3 linked regions of the Mus musculus genome follow. The protein of the gene in region 3 interacts with the protein of the main gene of each other region in a pairwise test. Links are inferred from orthologs where the notes say so. Each region holds a gene or a part of one and is shown on either strand. Other genes may lie near its edges.

The links. The genes of interacting proteins can lie anywhere in the genome.
Region 1: the proteins of Trim21 (region 3) and Usp15 interact in binary tests that used the Homo sapiens proteins (3 or more experiments, as listed by UniProt). The link is inferred for Mus musculus from reciprocal best matches to the Homo sapiens genes TRIM21 and USP15.
Region 2: the proteins of Trim21 (region 3) and Grap interact in binary tests that used the Homo sapiens proteins (3 or more experiments, as listed by UniProt). The two-hybrid records come from large-scale screens. The link is inferred for Mus musculus from reciprocal best matches to the Homo sapiens genes TRIM21 and GRAP.

Annotation. Positions count from the first base shown.
Region 1 is NC_000076.6:123,129,567-123,135,769, reverse strand, and holds part of Usp15 (ubiquitin carboxyl-terminal hydrolase 15), read left to right. Parts: intron 1-2,640; coding exon 2,641-2,814; intron 2,815-4,359; coding exon 4,360-4,518; intron 4,519-4,604; coding exon 4,605-4,829; intron 4,830-6,203. UniProt on the Homo sapiens protein: Hydrolase that removes conjugated ubiquitin from target proteins and regulates various pathways such as the TGF-beta receptor signaling, NF-kappa-B and RNF41/NRDP1-PRKN pathways.
Region 2 is NC_000077.6:61,662,071-61,668,273, forward strand, and holds part of Grap (GRB2-related adapter protein), read left to right. Parts: intron 1-2,114; coding exon 2,115-2,237; intron 2,238-6,203. UniProt on the Homo sapiens protein: Couples signals from receptor and cytoplasmic tyrosine kinases to the Ras signaling pathway. Plays a role in the inner ear and in hearing.
Region 3 is NC_000073.6:102,556,002-102,561,236, reverse strand, and holds the end of Trim21 (E3 ubiquitin-protein ligase TRIM21), read left to right. Parts: intron 1-621; coding exon 622-644; intron 645-1,168; coding exon 1,169-1,269; intron 1,270-1,573; coding exon 1,574-2,115; 3' UTR 2,116-3,317; downstream 3,318-5,235. UniProt on the Homo sapiens protein: E3 ubiquitin-protein ligase whose activity is dependent on E2 enzymes, UBE2D1, UBE2D2, UBE2E1 and UBE2E2.

The DNA.
Region 1 (6,203 bases), on a different chromosome or scaffold from region 3:
ATAGCACATGAATAATTAAGCAAAAGTGAAGTTCAGAATTTTTTCATGTTTGTAACACTTGGGTTTTTTTAGCTATTTGTAAAGCCATAAATTTGGTGGTTTGTACATGTGTAGTAATAGACTTTAGTGGGATAAATTTGGTGGTTTGTATATGTGTAGTAATAGACTTTAGTGGGATAAATTTGGTGGTTTGTACGTGTGTAGTAATAGACTTTAGTGGGATAAATTTGGTGGTTTGTACGTGTGTAGTAATAGACTTTAGTGGGATAAATTTGGTGGTTTGTACGTGTGTAGTAATAGACTTTAGTGGGATAAATTTGGTGGTTTGTATGTGTGTAGTAATAGACTTTAGTGGGATAAATTTGGTGGTTTGTACATGTGTAGTAATAGACTTTAGTGGGATAAATTTGGTAGTTTGTACGTGTGTAGTAATAGACTTTAGTGGGATAAATTTGGTGGTTTGTATATGTGTAGTAATAGACTTTAGTGGGATGCTGCATTAATATAACCCTGACCACACCACAGAATGAGGATTTGCAAACTAAGTGCTAACTGTCAGACACTACTGTGACTGGCCCCTTTGCCCAATGTCTTCTTACCGTTGATCCTGCTTGTGGCAGATCAGCATACTTCTGCTAAGCAATGGCAGCTGTGATGTGGTGTATCCATGTGGCCTGTCCTCCTCTAGTGCTGGGATTGTAGTAAAAGTGAAGTGCAATACACAAGGAGAGAATGAGACTCAGGTGGGACATGAGGACCTGGGGAGAAGCATAGGAAGTGTCCTTCCCTTAATCACCATCCCCGTTATCTCCCCACTGCCCGATGCGTAGCTTTTCACACAAAGACAGAGTCTATAGTGGAAGCAAATGTAAACGACTCGGAAGCTCTGCAGCGCGCAGCCTGAGTCATAGAGTATCTGTGAGACCTCATGCCACGGCCCTGTAAAGCCAGCTGCTCTAGGGACTGAGGAAAGGAAAGTAAAAGTTCATGCGCTGTTTGTGATGCAGAGTGAGCTCAAGGCCAGCCTGGGCAACTTAAAATCTTGTCTCAGAATCAGAAGTACAGTAAGAGGTTGGGAGCGGGGATGTTGGGAACTCAGAGTGACTGGTTCCTCTCTGCCAGCCGAGGGCACCTCAGGCGAGCATTGGAGAGTCAGAACAGTACATTCCGTGATACAAGTTCCACGTTCATCCTGAGGGATGGGGTGCAACTCAATTTAGACAACATCCAAACTGTGGCGGTATTAGGACGAGTCAGTAAACATACGAGTCAGTAAATATATAATTGAGGCCAAAAAAATGAGTAGCATAAGATACTTGAAAGAAGTAAATAAAAGTAAAATATGCTTGTTTTGGCCAGACTATGTAATATAGTCATAATTTACATTACCTGTATAAACACCCAGCAAGCTGGGCTTTACATAGCTATGAAGCCTATTTAACTTCATGCAACATGGTGGCATGCCAGCTCTCAAAAACTTTGATTTCCATGAATATTAATTGAGACTCAACAAAATGGATCTTTAAAACTTTACGTACAGGCAACTGATTTCTCATACAGCACTTTTTCACTGTCTCCAAGGCATTATTTATATTGGCTGTTGATGTGACTTACCTGAGTGTACACGTGTGTGAGGCATTGCATATCTGAAACCTCGTTCGTAAAGCAGCATGGTCTCCCTCTAGGGAATCATAAGGCAGCATCGACCTCACCTTATCCAAATCATTTTGAAATAAAATATTGTGGAAAAATATATTTCTACCATCTTTGAAATTTTTTATTAGGAATTTATTCAAAAAGGATTGGATTAAAACTTTGCAGTTTTTCATAAATGAAAATTAAATTGTTATTGTATTAAGAGTTTTGAAAGAACATATCCAGAGTTTGCCTAAAGTTGGTTTTGGTAGGCTTTCCTGGTCAGTTCTATGCTTTCTAATCACCACTACCAGCTGAATGACAGGCTTAAAAACCGCACCTTTATGATAAGGCGCTGGCTGCAGAAGTAGTAAGTACTGTCGTCGTGATGGTATCCGTGAGCTGTTGGTATCGAAATCCACAAGCGCCGTATATTAGGAGGCTTATGGTCATCACGTAAGTCATCTTTAGATTGCTTATAATACCTTTATGTTGTCCTGACTGAAGTACAATGACCAAAAAACATTTTGTTCAGTATGAATGCATTTTTTTTCCAAATTATTTTTCTATCTGCAATTGATTTGAGTCCATGGATACCATAAACCATCTGTACCTCTTTTAAGTTGTTTTGTTTTGTTTTTTCCTTGCACACCATCTCGGTTTTTACCTACCCAGGCTACTTTACAGTGCCTGGGGTGCTTAGACAGTCCATAGTTTCTGCCCATCAAGTCAAGGAAACGCTGAGCTTCACCCCCAGTTAACAGGTAGTTTGTTGTGATTAAAATTATGCAGATTTTGCAGCAACAAGTATTGGTGGCTTTGTTTGTTGTAGTGACTGACTGGAAGTTTGGGAAGTGAGTGCTCAGAAAGCCTGACTGGCATGTTAACTGTTACTCGGCACAAGGAACCGTTTCTACTGCTCTGTGTGAATTGACTTGCTTCTCTCGTCATTTTAACAGTTTAAGTGTGCATATTTTACTTCAAAATATTTTTTGTTCCTTTCAGTGTTTGAGCAACACACCTCCACTTACTGAATATTTCCTCAATGATAAGTACCAAGAAGAGCTGAATTTTGACAATCCCTTAGGAATGAGAGGTGAAATAGCTAAATCATACGCTGAACTCATCAAGCAGATGTGGTCTGGAAAGTTTAGCTACGTCACTCCAAGAGCATTCAAGGTTAGTGTGGTAAACTTATTCTCAGCTAGTGTGCTTTTGTCTCCAGAGGATCAACACAACAACAGACTCCTCAGTTGAGAGCTGAGAGTCCCATCGCATTGTCTCCTGGCCTCACAAAGACAGAGACATGGCATTCAGCAAATTTTGCAGCAACAAGTATTGGTGGCTTTGTTTGTTAGTAGTAACTGACTGAAAGTTTGGGAAGTGAGTGACCTGAAAGCCTCGCTTAAGTGTTAACTGTTACTCAGCACAAGGAACCATTTATATTTCTCCTGATTAGGGGTTTTTATTTGGTTTTTGTTTTCTTAATGTCTAGAAATGGGTTGGAGAGGAATGGCTTAGAGTTAAGAGCAATTGCTACACTCCCAGAGGACTAACATGAGGTGGCTCAGAAATGCCTGTGTAACTCACACTGGAGAAGGTCTGACCCCATGGTGTTTGCATTCACGTGTGCGCACATGCTCAGACACGCACAGTTACACTGATGAGGTTCAGAAGGGTCAAGGCTATCTCTGGAAACACTACATGAATGTTTTAAGCTTCACTGGGACATGCCATTAAGTTTATCCTGTGGTTATTGTAGACTGTAAAAAAAAACAAAATCAGAATGAAACGAATTTACAAAACAACTGTCAAATAGTCACTGATTGTATTTTCGATCTGGTTTTTACGCTTGGGTGTTTGTATGTATGAGGGAGTTACTTAGGTCTTAGCCTTAGGGAGAAGTTATTATAAGCCATGGTCTTCACAGGTAAGTGGCATTCCTAGATCATCTGCTAAGGAATATTTTGTTAATCATCTAGCTGTTCCTAAAAAATGAATCAGCGCTGAAGAGATGGCTGTGCTAAGGTTAAGAGCGCTGGCTACTTTTCCAGGGGAGCCGGGCTCAGTTCCCAGCATTTGCATGGTAGCTACCTACCTACCTATGTCTGTAACTCCAGTTCAAGTGGACACCGTATGCAAATGCTGCAAAGACACTGCAGGCAGAACACCAGTTTTCATTCTTCCTAAGTTATTTCCATAAAGGGAAATGAACAGATGAACAAATACAGAAGCACATTCTAGGGAAGGGCAAGATTCGAGTCCCTCGAGCCTTGTCACATTGTCATCAGTCACTGACTCGGGGTTTAGTGTATGGGTAACATGCTAATCCTGACTTCACAACCAACCCTATATATAACTCACTGCTTAACAAGATGCATCTAATTGTATTTTCCCTGTAAAGTACATGACTACCCCTGTGTTTATGAATTCTAGATGACACCTTAGCGCTCTGCGTGAGAACGGTTTCAAGCACTAGCTAGCCTGGCAGGAAACCACCCACGTATAAAGAAGAAAACACTAAGAAAATGACAAAACGATGCTGAAACTTCAAGGCAGTATAGCTCGCTCACGTTCTTCCCAGAGGGTTTACTGGAACACTTTGAGATGGTTTCAGTGTATCACAGCTTGGGGGCATAGAAGTAATTTATAGTAAACTGAGAGCAAGCATGTGCTTTTTCAGGAGCCTGTCTCTAGCCGGTTGTGTGACTTTGTGTCTTACAGACACAGGTAGGGCGCTTCGCACCTCAGTTCTCTGGATATCAACAGCAGGACTGCCAAGAACTACTGGCTTTCCTGTTGGATGGACTGCACGAGGACCTGAATAGAATTAGGAAAAAACCCTATATCCAGTTAAAAGATGCTGATGGCAGGCCAGACAAGGTAAATGAATGAGCGTTCTGGCGTTAGTGTCTTCATCGTTACAGTCTTCTGACACCTCGTAGTAACTCTGTTCCTTTCCTCTGTAGGTGGTTGCTGAAGAAGCCTGGGAGAACCATTTAAAGCGAAATGATTCCATCATAGTAGACATATTCCATGGCCTTTTCAAGTCTACGTTAGTGTGTCCTGAGTGTGCTAAGATCTCGGTGACCTTTGACCCTTTCTGTTACTTGACTCTTCCATTGCCTATGAAAAAAGAACGTAGCTTGGAAGTTTATTTAGTTAGAATGGATCCACTTGCTAAACCTATGCAAGTAAGTAATGACTCCTTTCTTTACATTTGGTATTGTAACTTCTTGATGGGACGATTTTAACATTTATTGGTTTCTCCAGCACTAATAAAATGTATTAGATAATAGATTTTATAAGCTAAATACTCTGGAAGTTGCACCTGTTTAGAATTTGAGAAGTTAAAGGATATCATAGAAAAATAAATTTAATCAAATTTCTTTGTCACATCAAAGACAGCTAAGATATTTGTTTTATAATTTGGGATGGATAGCCGCTTTAAAAAAAATAGTAGTATTATTGTCTATATTTTTTTCTATCAATAAATTTTAAGTGTATTTATTTTATATGTTATGGGTATTTTGCCTGTATATTGCTCTGTACCATGAGTACCATGAGTTTTTGGATCCCCTGGGCCTGGAGTATTAGATGGCTGTGTGCTCCCACGTGCGTGCTGAGAGTGGCTCCTGGCTCTTGAGGAGGAGCGGCCAGTGCTCGTAACCACTGAATCGTCTTCTAGTCCTCCCCTAGTCAAATTCTTTATGCTGTAGGTTTTTTCCTGGTCACTTTCAAAAGTAAAGCTACTGTTGTATTTTGCTTATGTGTTTATTGTTGTCTATGTATGTGTCTGTTATGTATTTATTATCTATTATATTTATTGTAAGTCATGATATGATCATACAGAAGTGGAAATAACCTTCAGGCATTCCAAAATTTTGATGAGAAATAAAAAATTGGTATAAAAATACTTGGTTCAGGACCGGCAGGATTCCTCAGTGAGGTAAAGGCAGTCGCTGCCAAACCTGACAGGCTTGAGCTCAGTCGCTCACTCACGGGCGGTAGGAGAGAACCTGCTCCCACAGTTCCACTCTGACTCCCGCACTTGTGGCGTCGCATGCACGTAGGCACGGTTAGCAAACCTTACGAGTGAGCGCTTGTTCGGTGGTTGTTCTGGCCTTTAGTATTAGGCTTTGCTTATTCTGTGCAAGGTCCCTGTGCTGCACGTTAATGTCAGCTGATGCCTGATGCCTTTGCCGTGTGCTGTCACTGGCTTCCTCAGTGTTTTGTGAGAAAAAAGCTACATTTTCTGTTTCTAAATCAGTTATTCCTTCACATGTGACCCCTTCTAGTGACAGCGCCTCCTTTGCTCCGCTAAACTCTGTTACAGCACCTCAAAGATTTTCGTTTCGCCTTATCTTTCTTTCTCAACTACCCAGGGCTCTTTTCAGGCAGGGAGCTTGTATGCCTCATGCTATGACTTGTCAATATTAGTGCAAAAATGCATCCAGATCTGTGTTACCCAGTGCTTTAGGGTCTGGCCAGATATCTCAGATTGTAGATACATAGTAGAAGTGAAAAATACCCTGTGAACAAAACTACCTTTACTCCTCGTAGTAAGA
Region 2 (6,203 bases), on a different chromosome or scaffold from region 3:
GCCAGCCCAGTTTACAGAGCAAATTCTAGGACAGCCAAGGCTACACAGAGAAATCCTGTCTCAGAAACAAACGAACGAACGAACAAACAAACAATGACAAACCCATCCATCACCTTATAGACCAGCAGAGACACAGAGAGACTGGGTGCCTTGTCCAGGATCACTTAGCCTGCAAGAAGTAGACTGGGATTGCAGCTGGTGGTGGAGGCCCTTCATGAGCCACCAGAGAGGGACAGAAAGTCCATGAGAGCAGCTGTGTGGGGGTGAACCTCAGACTCCCTAAGCAGCTTCTCGGGAGACCTCGGTCCTCCCTGGGTTTCAGTTTCCACCCCAGTACAAGAAGCAACATAGTAGAGTCAAAGATGGAGTGGTGAGAACTGAGATTTAGAACTTCCTTCAACTGCCCTTCAAGCAGGTGAACCCTTCCTCCGTAACTCACGGCCTATTAGACCAATCCCCCCATGACCCTGTCACCCAGTGTTCCCACTTCTCGCCTCTGCTGTAGAGACTGTATTAGGGTTCTCTCTCACACTCTCTCTCATTTCTCTCTCCTCTCTCGCTCTCCCTCTCCATCTCTTCCAGTTAATCTAACAATGGCTGGCTATGACCAGAAAGTCCAAGAATCCAGTAGTTGCTCAGTCCACAAAGCTGGATGTCTCAGCTGATTCAGGACACACTGGAATCCTGCAGAAGCAGGCTCTGATGCCAATCAATGAAGGAATGGACTTGCTAGCAAGTCAATGGCAAGCAGGCAGAGAGCCAAGCCATCTTCCTCCATATCTTTATATAGGCTTTCCGTAGGTGTGGCCCAGATTAGAGGTCGGGTTACCCTAGTTCCAAAGACCTGGATTAAAAGTCTTCCTGCCTCAGAGATTCAGATCAGAAGTAGATCTTTCCACTTTGGATTAAGCAAAGCTCTCTCACAAGTATGCCCTCTACTTGGGGGCTTTAGTTAATTCCAGATGTAGTCAAGTTGACAACCAAAAATAGCCACCACTGAGACCAAGTTCCAATGTAGATTTTGGAGCTATGTCCAGGCATGGCAGGCAGCCTCCCGTTCCTGGGGACCCCACCACCACCACCTCCCAAAGAATCCTTCTAGGCCCAGCGCTCTAGCCTAGGACTCAATACAATGCCCTGGGGTCAGTAAGCGAGCGGCTGGCTGGAAAGGGCCTTGAGGCCTCGCTGCAGAAGCTGGCTAGCCCAGCAGACAGGAAGGACCCCAGGAGAGGCTGCTCTGGCCTTGCAAGAGTCCCAAGACCTAGCGGGTGCAGTTCTGTTCCAAGTCTGCTCCTACTCGGGAGGGACACAAGGCAGGGAGGGAGGCCACTATTATTGATGTCACCCATACTTATTTGTGGTGCCGAGGACGAACGTGGAGTGTCGCACTCGCTAGGCTAGCACTCCACTGACTCACATCCTAGCACAATTTTACGCTTTTTTAACTTTTAAAAATCTGTACTGGGCTAGTGAGACGGCTCAGTGATTAAAGGCACTTCTCACCAAGCCCAGTGACTTGATTTCAGTGCCCAGGATGTGAATGGTGGAAGGGGAGAACTGACTGGTTATCCTCTGGTCTACATATATGTAGTATGTACATTCCTGAACATGTATGCGCCCACACAGAAATAAATAGTTTTGAGAGTGCATACTGCTCTTGCAGGGGATCCATGTCTGGTTCCTAGCACCTACATCTGGCAGCTCACAACCACCTGTAACTCCCTCTCTGGGAGACCTGACACCCTCTTCTGGACTCACATACACATACCCCACCCCTTATATATAATACATATAATTTAAAACAATAATGAAAATGAATATTAAAAAAGAAAGATAATCTCCATCTACAAGCCAGACAGGCGTGCCGGCTGGTGAAGCACCTGACTCTGGTTTTTCTGTCTTGGGTGTGGGTTTGCCTGGCCTGGTACGGACAGCAGGGACAGATTGCCTCAACTCTGATTTGCCTCTCCTATGTGACCTTGATTTTTTTTTCCCTATTTCTCAATTTCCTCGAGTGTAAAATGGTCACAGTGATACCTTTGAAGAGGGAATGAGGGCCAGCCCTGCCATCGACCTTACGGATACCTCCAGACACGGTCCCCCTCTCCCCACAGGTGGTACTCGGGCAGGATCTCTCGACAGCTGGCTGAAGAGACTCTGATGAAACGCAACCACCTAGGAGCCTTCCTGATCAGGGAGAGTGAGAGTTCCCCTGGCGAGTTCTCCGTCTCTGTGAAGTGAGCTCCAGGGCGGAGTGGGTGGGAGCAGGGGGGTGGGGCAGGCCTGGCAGAGCCACTGGCTGGGTAAAGGGCTCAGCAAGCAAGTGTGGAGGTTTCTTGGTTAGAGAGTAGGGGAGGATGCCCAATGAGGCCCTAGGCTGGTGACCAGAAAGTTCTGCCAACAGGGTCCCACTTGATGACAATGTTGTCTGTGTTGAGAGCACAGACTCTGAGGCCAGGTACTTCTAATTCTGATGTTGTCACTTTGTGGCTGTGTGGCACAGGACCAGTTACTTAACCCTGCTGAGCCTGTTTCCACACAGATAAAATAGGTCATTGGAAGAATGAGTCAGTCGACCTAAAGCAGAAGGCTGTATTAACTTCATAAGGAGAAACTCACACCTTATAAGATAGCGCCTGGCAACAAGAGCCAAAGCAGGGGTGCTGGACTGGGGACTGTGCGGTGGCTTACTAGGATGAACACGGTGGCTCCTCAGTCTGGCAAAGCAGAAGGGGCTGAGGGCAGCAGAGTCACACTCAGAGAGAGGGGGACCATAGGGCAGAGGACTGGTACACAGCTTGGGCTTTCTCTCAGAGCAGCAGGAAGTCACGAGGGGTATGAGGGGTACGGAAGGGGATGATGAAGTTCCATCCATAGCAGCCCCCCCCTGCTGGCTGTGAGGAGGAGGAGGGACTTTTGGGGGGAGGTAACACGAAGCAGGAGGAAGAGAGTGGGGTCAGGGCCTGGTGGCATGGCTTAGGACTCTGTCTCCTGATTGTGTCTGGAGTAGTGGAATTCGACATGCTACTGTGCTAAAGGGACAGAGGAAGGTGTGGCCTGCCTATGGCTCTTCAAGAATGCTTGCTCCCAGGCCACACTTGACCTTTGGTCAGTGGCTTTCCACAACAGCATACTGAGGATCAGGGCAATGTGTGAAGACCCTGCAGCTCCTGTGGACTGCCGTCCTTCCTCTCCGTTCTGATTGCCCGTGGAGCTATAAGACCCACACCAGGCTGGGGCTACTGCTCTAAGGCCACAGCCCGATGCATCATCATGTGTTCTGTCTCCTGCAGCTGCTTAGCAGCCACCGTAACCATGCAGCAGCCATTGGCTACTCCACGAGGGTCCCCCACACCTTCTCCAGCTTCCTTGCCTATCTGGTACCATATGTACAGGAAGGTTCTCTACCCGAGTCTGGCCTGGACATCCCTTAACTCCCTACAGGTCACAGCAGAAAGTGACTCCTAGGGATGACACCACCAGGAGGATAGCCCAGCCTTAGTAACTCCTGGAAGCTTCCCAAAGACCCAAGGTCACCTAGCCAAACAGGGGCACCCGGCACAGATCAGGCCCAGAGTAGGAGCAGAGAGGAACCTGTCCCGTCCCACTCCTCTTGAGCTCCCCACAGACCCAGGCTGCCTTGGCAGCCCTTAGAGGGTGGTCCTGGCTAGCCACCCTGGGACAGGGGCAGAAGGGCAGAAGTATGGGATACACATAGACCCAGAAGTTCCACCATGAGCAGGTGCGGAAGGAAGTCCACAGAGGACACACTCCGAGACGAGACGGGGCAGCAGAGTCCAGCCTTAAGCATGTGTGGGAGCTCTGCTGGGGTCTGAGGGGTGCCAGGCACGGGAAACAGTGTGCGTCAAGATCTGATCAGAGGTCGTACAGTGAGGTCTGTTTGGATGTTAACAAGCCTGACCAGAAGGGGAGATGGCAGTGTGCTGGAATAGGTTTTCAGTAGGCAAGCTCAGCCAACGCACGATGCGTAAAGAAACCCTGGCACACACCCACCAGTCCCTTCTCAAGAAGTCCTAGAGCACCCACCCACATTAGGCCTGGCTGGCCAGAGCTTCCCCAGCTCAGCCCTGCGATTGCACTTAGGGCCACCAGGTGGCCATCTCCACCCTTGCTTCCTCCTAGGCTGGGCCAGAGATCTTGAAACTGACTCCCAAAATGGGAGTCCCAGCTCCCACCCCCCCTAGCCTTGAAATCCAGGCACGTTATCCTGGGAACCTCAGCTTCTCTATCCATGAAGTAGGCATTGATACGAACTGAGCTGTGATCTGGATGCACACTGCGGCCCAAGGTGGACCTGAAGGGGAGCCCCCTGTTCAGAGGCCACTTCTGGCCCCATTGCTCTTGCCTAGGGCTCTCTGGAAGACATATTGGTTGGGGACATATTGGTAGTCTCCTCCTGTCTTTGCTTGGGACTAATGTATGACTTCAGTCAGGTTCTGGTCCTGTCTTGGTGGTCATCCCTCACCTGTGATGATGAGGTCAACCTGACAACCCTCCACCCTCCCTGGCATGAGTCTCCCACAAGTTCATGCCAAGAACCACAAAGTTGTCACAGGTAGTTTTATGCACCTTGGGTGCTGAACAGTGCCAGTAGCCACAGCCAGTTCATTGAGCAGCTTTCAGAGAGGTGACCCCCTTGAGCCCATTGGCTGGTACCTGTCTGCCTAACTTTCCCTTCATATTTCTATCCAGGCCCCTGAGACCCTTCTCTCATGGCTGATGGGAGATAGATCTCAATTAAAGTGTCTTGCTTCCTTTCTGGCCATGAGTGCCTTGGAGTTATAGCACACACTTGTCTATACCACCAAACTGGTACTTTGGAGCTAGCACACACTTGTCTATACCATCAGAACGGTGCCACACGGAGCACCCACTGTGACCCAGGTCCTGTCCCTGGGAGCACCACAGAATAGGACAAAGGTCCTTGTTCCCTGTGTGCTGCTCCAGTGATGAAAAGCACAGGTTTAGCAAATAATGGGGGCTGGGGAATATGAGCAGGGCTGGGCTGCCAGATCCCAGTGTGCAGGTAAGGAAACCAACACTCTGAGTGGCGAGAAATTTGCTAGTGAGCTCAAGTGTCCTAGTGAACCATTTTCTGAGAGGCAGAAACCTGGCAGGGAACTATCTCCCCATCGCCCAGGGCCTTCCGAGGTCATCCCTGTTCTCCCTGTGTGCTGCAGGGCCAACTTTGCTCTCCTTTTGTTCCCCAGTGGACAGAGCGGTGAGCGCCTAGATCTGGCCCATGTAAGCCTCAGCTGGGAAAATGGGAGCATGGGCTCCTGCCCACCCAACCTTGGCTCCCCTCTCAGATGCTGCTGCTGCCACTAGGCAGGAAAAACTTGCTGAGCGAGACTGGCCTGACTAAGACCTTGAGTTTTCTGATGCAGGGACCAGGCATAGCACAGTGGGGGTTGGGGTCGGGGTCACAAAGTACTGCCCAGCAAGGGATATTCGCCATAGAGATGGGAATAGGTAAAAAGACACATACTAGGACATACTGCAGACACCAGGAGTCCAGTCCATGCTGCCTCTTTTCCAGAATTCAGCTCTTGGGTTTAGGGACAGGGTGGAGTACTGATGAGCAGTGTGGGATGGTGACATAGAGGCCCCTTCCCAGACAGCCTAGCCTTCCTTAGCTGGGAAACAGGGGCAGCTATGGGCAAGTGGCAGAAAGGACAAGACAAGCCACATACAGCCATGACTATTACACTGCCCAGCCTGAAGATTTCCCAGCTGACAGGTTGGAAAGTTCTAGAACTCCTGGCCCCATGCCCTGTCCCCCAGTTCTCCCATGGGATCCAAGAACATTCCCCTGCAAAACTCTCCAAGCCCCAGGCTCTGAGCTGCTTATGGAGAAACAAGAATTTAGGAGTCCGGAGCCGGCCCTGCCCCACCCCATCCTGCCTTTCGCTGAACTCTTAGCCACACTCACCCTGCTGCTCATAATGACCCCTCCCCGCACAGCTACACCTGAGGGCAGAGAGGTGGACAGACTGTTCCTTGCCCACCCTCGGCACCTACAGCTTAGTCACTGCAAACACCATGCTGTCAGCTCATAAGCAGTTTTGTGACTCTCAGGGTTTGTGGCACCTCTGGCAGAACTTTCCTTTTGGGGGAAACAGGCTCTTCCAAAGGAGCATAGCAGGGCCGTAGCTGCTGGTAGGGCTGGCTCAAGGCCAGGT
Region 3 (5,235 bases):
TTTCTGCTTTGTATAGAAAAACTGATTGTATTGGTTTGACTTGGCAGGCTTCCTCTTGCCTGTCACTGAACTGAGCTTCCTGGTGCCTTTTTAAGGAGCCTAGGAGGCTGCCAGTTCAAATGTTATGGCTGTCACTGCCTGAGAATGAATAGTCTCACTTGAACTCACTCTAAATAGTGAAGAGGATTAGCCACAGCACAGGACAAAGCTTTTAACCAACTAGCCATTCCTCCACAAACAGTTCAAGCCCAAAAATAGCAGGGAACCTCTCTGGACATCTACCTAAGCCATTCTCTGCCTGAAGCTACCTCCCGGCTTCAGTCGGGTTCTGTTGTTTATCTTCCTCTTCTACTGGCTCCATGGCCAGCCCCGCTCCTCCAAGAACCCAGCCCTTGTAAGTCTCTTTCTCTGTCAGTCTTTAAATCCCTGGTCATGGCTAAAGGCCATAACCACGTTGGCTTCCTAGATATTCTGTGAGCCATCACATGCCATTTCTGGTAACGGTTTGTCAGAGTTATCTTTGGGGCCTTACCCAAGGGCGATGTCACATGGCCCCAGGAATGGCATCTCAGTGGTCAGTCAGAAACTCCAGAGTTGACTGTCTGTCTCTTCTCTCCTCAGGAGGTGAGGATCATCCTGGAAAGGTAAGGAAAGGGACCAGGAAGCATGTGTGCATAGAAACCTGGTCCACTCTAAGACGTTCTCTGCTTTCAAATGGCTAATGAACATATCAAATGATGAATTGCCCGATGAATATCAATCATCTTTGTACATTAAAAGTCTCCCACCAGAAAGTGGTAATCTGAGTCTGCTAGAACTCTCCTACGGAAAGACATTCATAAGTAATGAGTAAAACCGACAGCATGGCCAAGAGTCCTCCAAGTTCTTCACAGAAGTCATTCCACCTGTTAGATGGTTTGCTGTAAAATTAAATAAAATCCACAAGGCCATGACTTTGGGCTCTGGAAAGAGATGGAGATTTATTTGAGATTCCTAGAACTTGGAACTCCTAGATAGGAACTTTTTTTTCCTTTCCTGTGGACATTGAATGCATGTGTATTTGTATATTGGTATTGAGTTTAATTATTGAGCCGTCCATGAAGGAGAGCACTGGGGCCTAAGGTAGAAGATAGGAGCAGGAAGTAAGATTCTCAAACTCTTTCCCTAGGAGTGGATCCTGGAACCTGGACACGTTAGATATTGACGCCCCAGACCTAACAAGCACATGCCCTGTGCCAGGGCGGAAGAAGATGCTGAGGACATGTTGGGGTAAGGCGACATCTAGGAATTGTGGGCTAGACAGAAAGGGATAATGAGAGTGTGGAGTGGACAGTCATGAGGAACCCAGGGTGGTAATGTGTGGAAGAGGTGGCAAGTGGTACAGGTGGAGCAGAAGACATAGATGAAGTTTCCTCACATGTCAGAGGAAGGGCAAGAGTAACTGTGGGTCATTTCCTCACATGATGAGATTCAGGGTCACCCCTCACCTTTGAGTTTAAATGGATCTCCTCACTCTAGGCAAAGAGCAGCTGGCCTCATGCATCCAGTCTTACTTATGATCTTCTTTCTGCAGTTCATATTACTCTGGATCGCAACACCGCCAACTCATGGCTCATCATCTCAAAGGATCGGAGACAAGTGAGGATGGGAGACACCCATCAGAACGTGTCTGACAATGAGGAGAGGTTTAGTAATTACCCCATGGTGCTAGGTGCCCAGAGATTCTCCTCTGGGAAGATGTACTGGGAGGTAGATGTGACTCAAAAGGAGGCCTGGGATCTGGGGGTTTGCAGAGATTCTGTTCAGAGGAAAGGGCAGTTTTCACTCAGTCCCGAGAATGGCTTCTGGACCATTTGGTTATGGCAAGACAGCTATGAGGCTGGTACCAGTCCTCAGACCACCCTCCACATTCAAGTACCTCCATGCCAAATTGGGATCTTTGTGGACTATGAGGCTGGCGTTGTCTCCTTCTACAACATAACTGACCATGGCTCCCTCATTTACACCTTCTCGGAGTGTGTTTTTGCTGGACCTCTGCGACCTTTCTTCAATGTTGGTTTCAATTATAGTGGGGGAAATGCAGCGCCTCTAAAGCTCTGTCCACTAAAGATGTGATGGTCAGGAGCCAGTGCCTACTGACGGTACTTCCCGGACACTTACCTCCTCCCTGTCCTGATCAAGATCCAGTGACTCCTGGGGACCATTTCTGGATACTGCTGCTCACTTCCTGTTGGTGTTCTTCAGCCATGCACTTGGTCATTTTGACCCATCTAGTTGGAACTACCCTAAACCCTCATCTCTTTAAAGGAGTCAGGGTCCCAGGATGAAGGTATCAGCTGGACATAACTGAAAGTCAATGTCAAATGACCTTCACCATCAATATACCTGACATAGATTCCGCAATGATTCCTCAATGAAACAGACTCCTCACATTGGACCCAAACTCATCTAAAAGACAAACAAACATTTCTGCCTTTATGTGACTTCCTTTGTTTTCTCTGTCCTTGGTTGTTACCTTTGGCTAGATACCTGTCTACTCCTATATCTTTTGTGGCTTGCAGAAGGACTTCCTAGAAATTGTGCTTGAACTATCCTGTTCAGTTATTATTGGTAAAATATATATATATATATATATATATATATATATATATGCATACATATGTCTTAACATTATACATCTTCTGGTTTGGTTTGTTGTTTTGTTGTTACTGGGGGATTTTAGGGTTTTATTGTTCGTTGTTTGTTTGTTTTCCCTCCCTGGAATGCTCTATGCACTTCTTCTGTAAACCCAGGTCAAGAATATCTTCTATGGGAACAAATGAAAGCCAGGATAAAGTAGTGAAAGTGGTTCAGACAAGAGCTGAATGTTACACTGACAGTATGCTCAGTATCCCCAGTGATAGCCAAAGTCTGGGTGCTGTGCTGGGTCTGGTCAGTGAACCCCTGCTGTTGACTCTCACAAGGCTACAACAGCTGTGCTCAGACACTGCCTGCTGTCATTTTGTGGATATGTTGGTTTCTGATTCCATTGCCTTGAAGAAAGTGAAATTAGTAGCTGAACTAGTATACAAATATTTTGAAAGCTTCAAAAATACTACCTGGAGATTTATGTTACATAGTTAATAAACCCCTTATTCTCCACTGAATGGAATTGGGAGGTTTCATACTATCTCAGCTTTCCCCCATAGCCAATAACAAATGGTCTGGATACAAGTGTCTTTGTTACATAAAAGTTACCTTGAGAAAGATCTCCAAGTATTGGTTCCAATTCTGAATAATATGTCTTTTAAGATCAAATAAAGCCTGTTGATTTTCCTGAGCTTCTTTCATTCTACCGCCACCTTTCAAATTAACAAACACAAAGAATTAAAGAAACATCTGTACTGGCTCAGGCCGGACAAAATTGCAGCAGAGAGAGAGATGGGCACAGAGTCCCTCCCCTGGCTAAAGAGCTTTGGGCAGTTGCTGGGAGAAGGAGAGTCAGCTTGCTTTCAGGGTATGGGCCCTCCCCCAGTGAAAGCCCCATCTTCAGGAGTGTATAGGCAGCATAAACAGTGCCTGGTGGGTTACTTCTTTTTTTTTTTTTTTTTTTTAGGTATTTTCCTCGTTTACATTTTCAATGCTATCCCAAAGGTCCCCCATACCCACCCCCCCAATCCCCTACCCACCCACTCCCCCTTTTTGGTCCTGGTGTTCCCCTGTACTGGGGCATATAAAGTTTGCAAGTCCAATGGGCCTCTCTTTGCAGTGATGGCCGACTAGGCCATCTTTTGATACATATGCAGCTAAAGACAAGAGCTCCCGGGTACTGGTTAGTTCATATTGTTGTTCCACCTATAGGGTTGCAGTTCCCTTTAGCTCCTTGGGTAATTTCTCTAGCTCCTCCATTAGGGGCCGTGTGACCCATTCAATAGCTGACTGTGGTCATCCACTTCTGTGTTTGCTAGGCCCCGGCATAGTCTCACAAGAGAGAGCTATATCTGGGTCCTTTCAGCGAAATCTTGCTAGTGTATGCAATGGTGTCAGTGTTTGGGAGCTGATTATGGGATAGATCCCTGCATATGGCAATCACTAGATGGTCCATCCTTTCGTCACAGCTCCAAATTTTGTCTCTGTAACTCCTTCCATGGGTGTTTTGTTCCCATTTCTAAGAAAGGGTAAAGTGTCCACACTTTGGTCTTCGTTCTTCTTGGATTTCATGCGTTTGGCAAGTTGTATCTTATATCTTGGGTATCCTAAGTTTCTGGGCTAATATCCACTTATCAGTGAGTACATATTGTGCGAGTTCCTTTGTGATTGGATTACTTCACTCAGGATGATACCCTCCAGGTCCATCCATTTGCCTAGGAATTTCATAAATTCATTTTTTTAATAGCTGAGTAGTACTCCATTGTGTAAATGTACCACATTTTCTGTATCCATTCCTCTGTTGAGGGGCATCTGGGTTCTTTCCAGCTTCTGGATATTATAAACAAGGCTGCTATGAACATAGTGGAGCATGTGTTCTTCTTACCGGTTGGGACATCTTCTGGATATATGCCCAGGAGAGGTATTGCTGGATCCTCCGGTAGTACTATGTCCAATTTTCTGAGGAACCGCCAGACTGATTTCCAGAGTGGTTATACAAGCTTGCAATCCCACCAACAATGGAGGAGTGTTCCCCTTTCTCCACATCCTCGCCAGCATCTGCTGTCACCTGAGTTTTTGATCTTAGCCATTCTGACTGGAGTGAAGTGGAATCTCAGTGTTGTTTTGATTTGCATTTCCCTGATGATTAAGGATGTTGAACATTTTTTCAGGTGCTTCTCTGCCATTCAGTATTCCTCAGGTGAGAATTCTTTGTTCAGCTCTGAGCCCCATTTTTTAATGGGGTTATTTGATTTTCTGGAGTCCACCTTCTTGAGTTCTTTATATATATTGGATATTAGTCCCCTATCCGATTTGGGATAGGTAAAGATCCTTTCCCAATCTGTTGGTGGCCTTTTTGTCTTATTGACGGTGTCTTTTGCTTTGCAGAAGCTTTGCAATTTTATGAGGTCCCATTTATCGATTCTTGATCTTACAGCACAAGCCATTGCTGTTCTATTCAGGAATTTTTCCCCTGTACCCATATCTTCGAGGCTTTTCCCTACTTTCTCCTCTATAAGTTTCAGTGTCTCTGGTTTTATGTGGAGTTCCTTAATCTTCTAAAGAGGAGGAGTGGAGAGGAGGAGGAGGAGGAACAATACAAAGTAG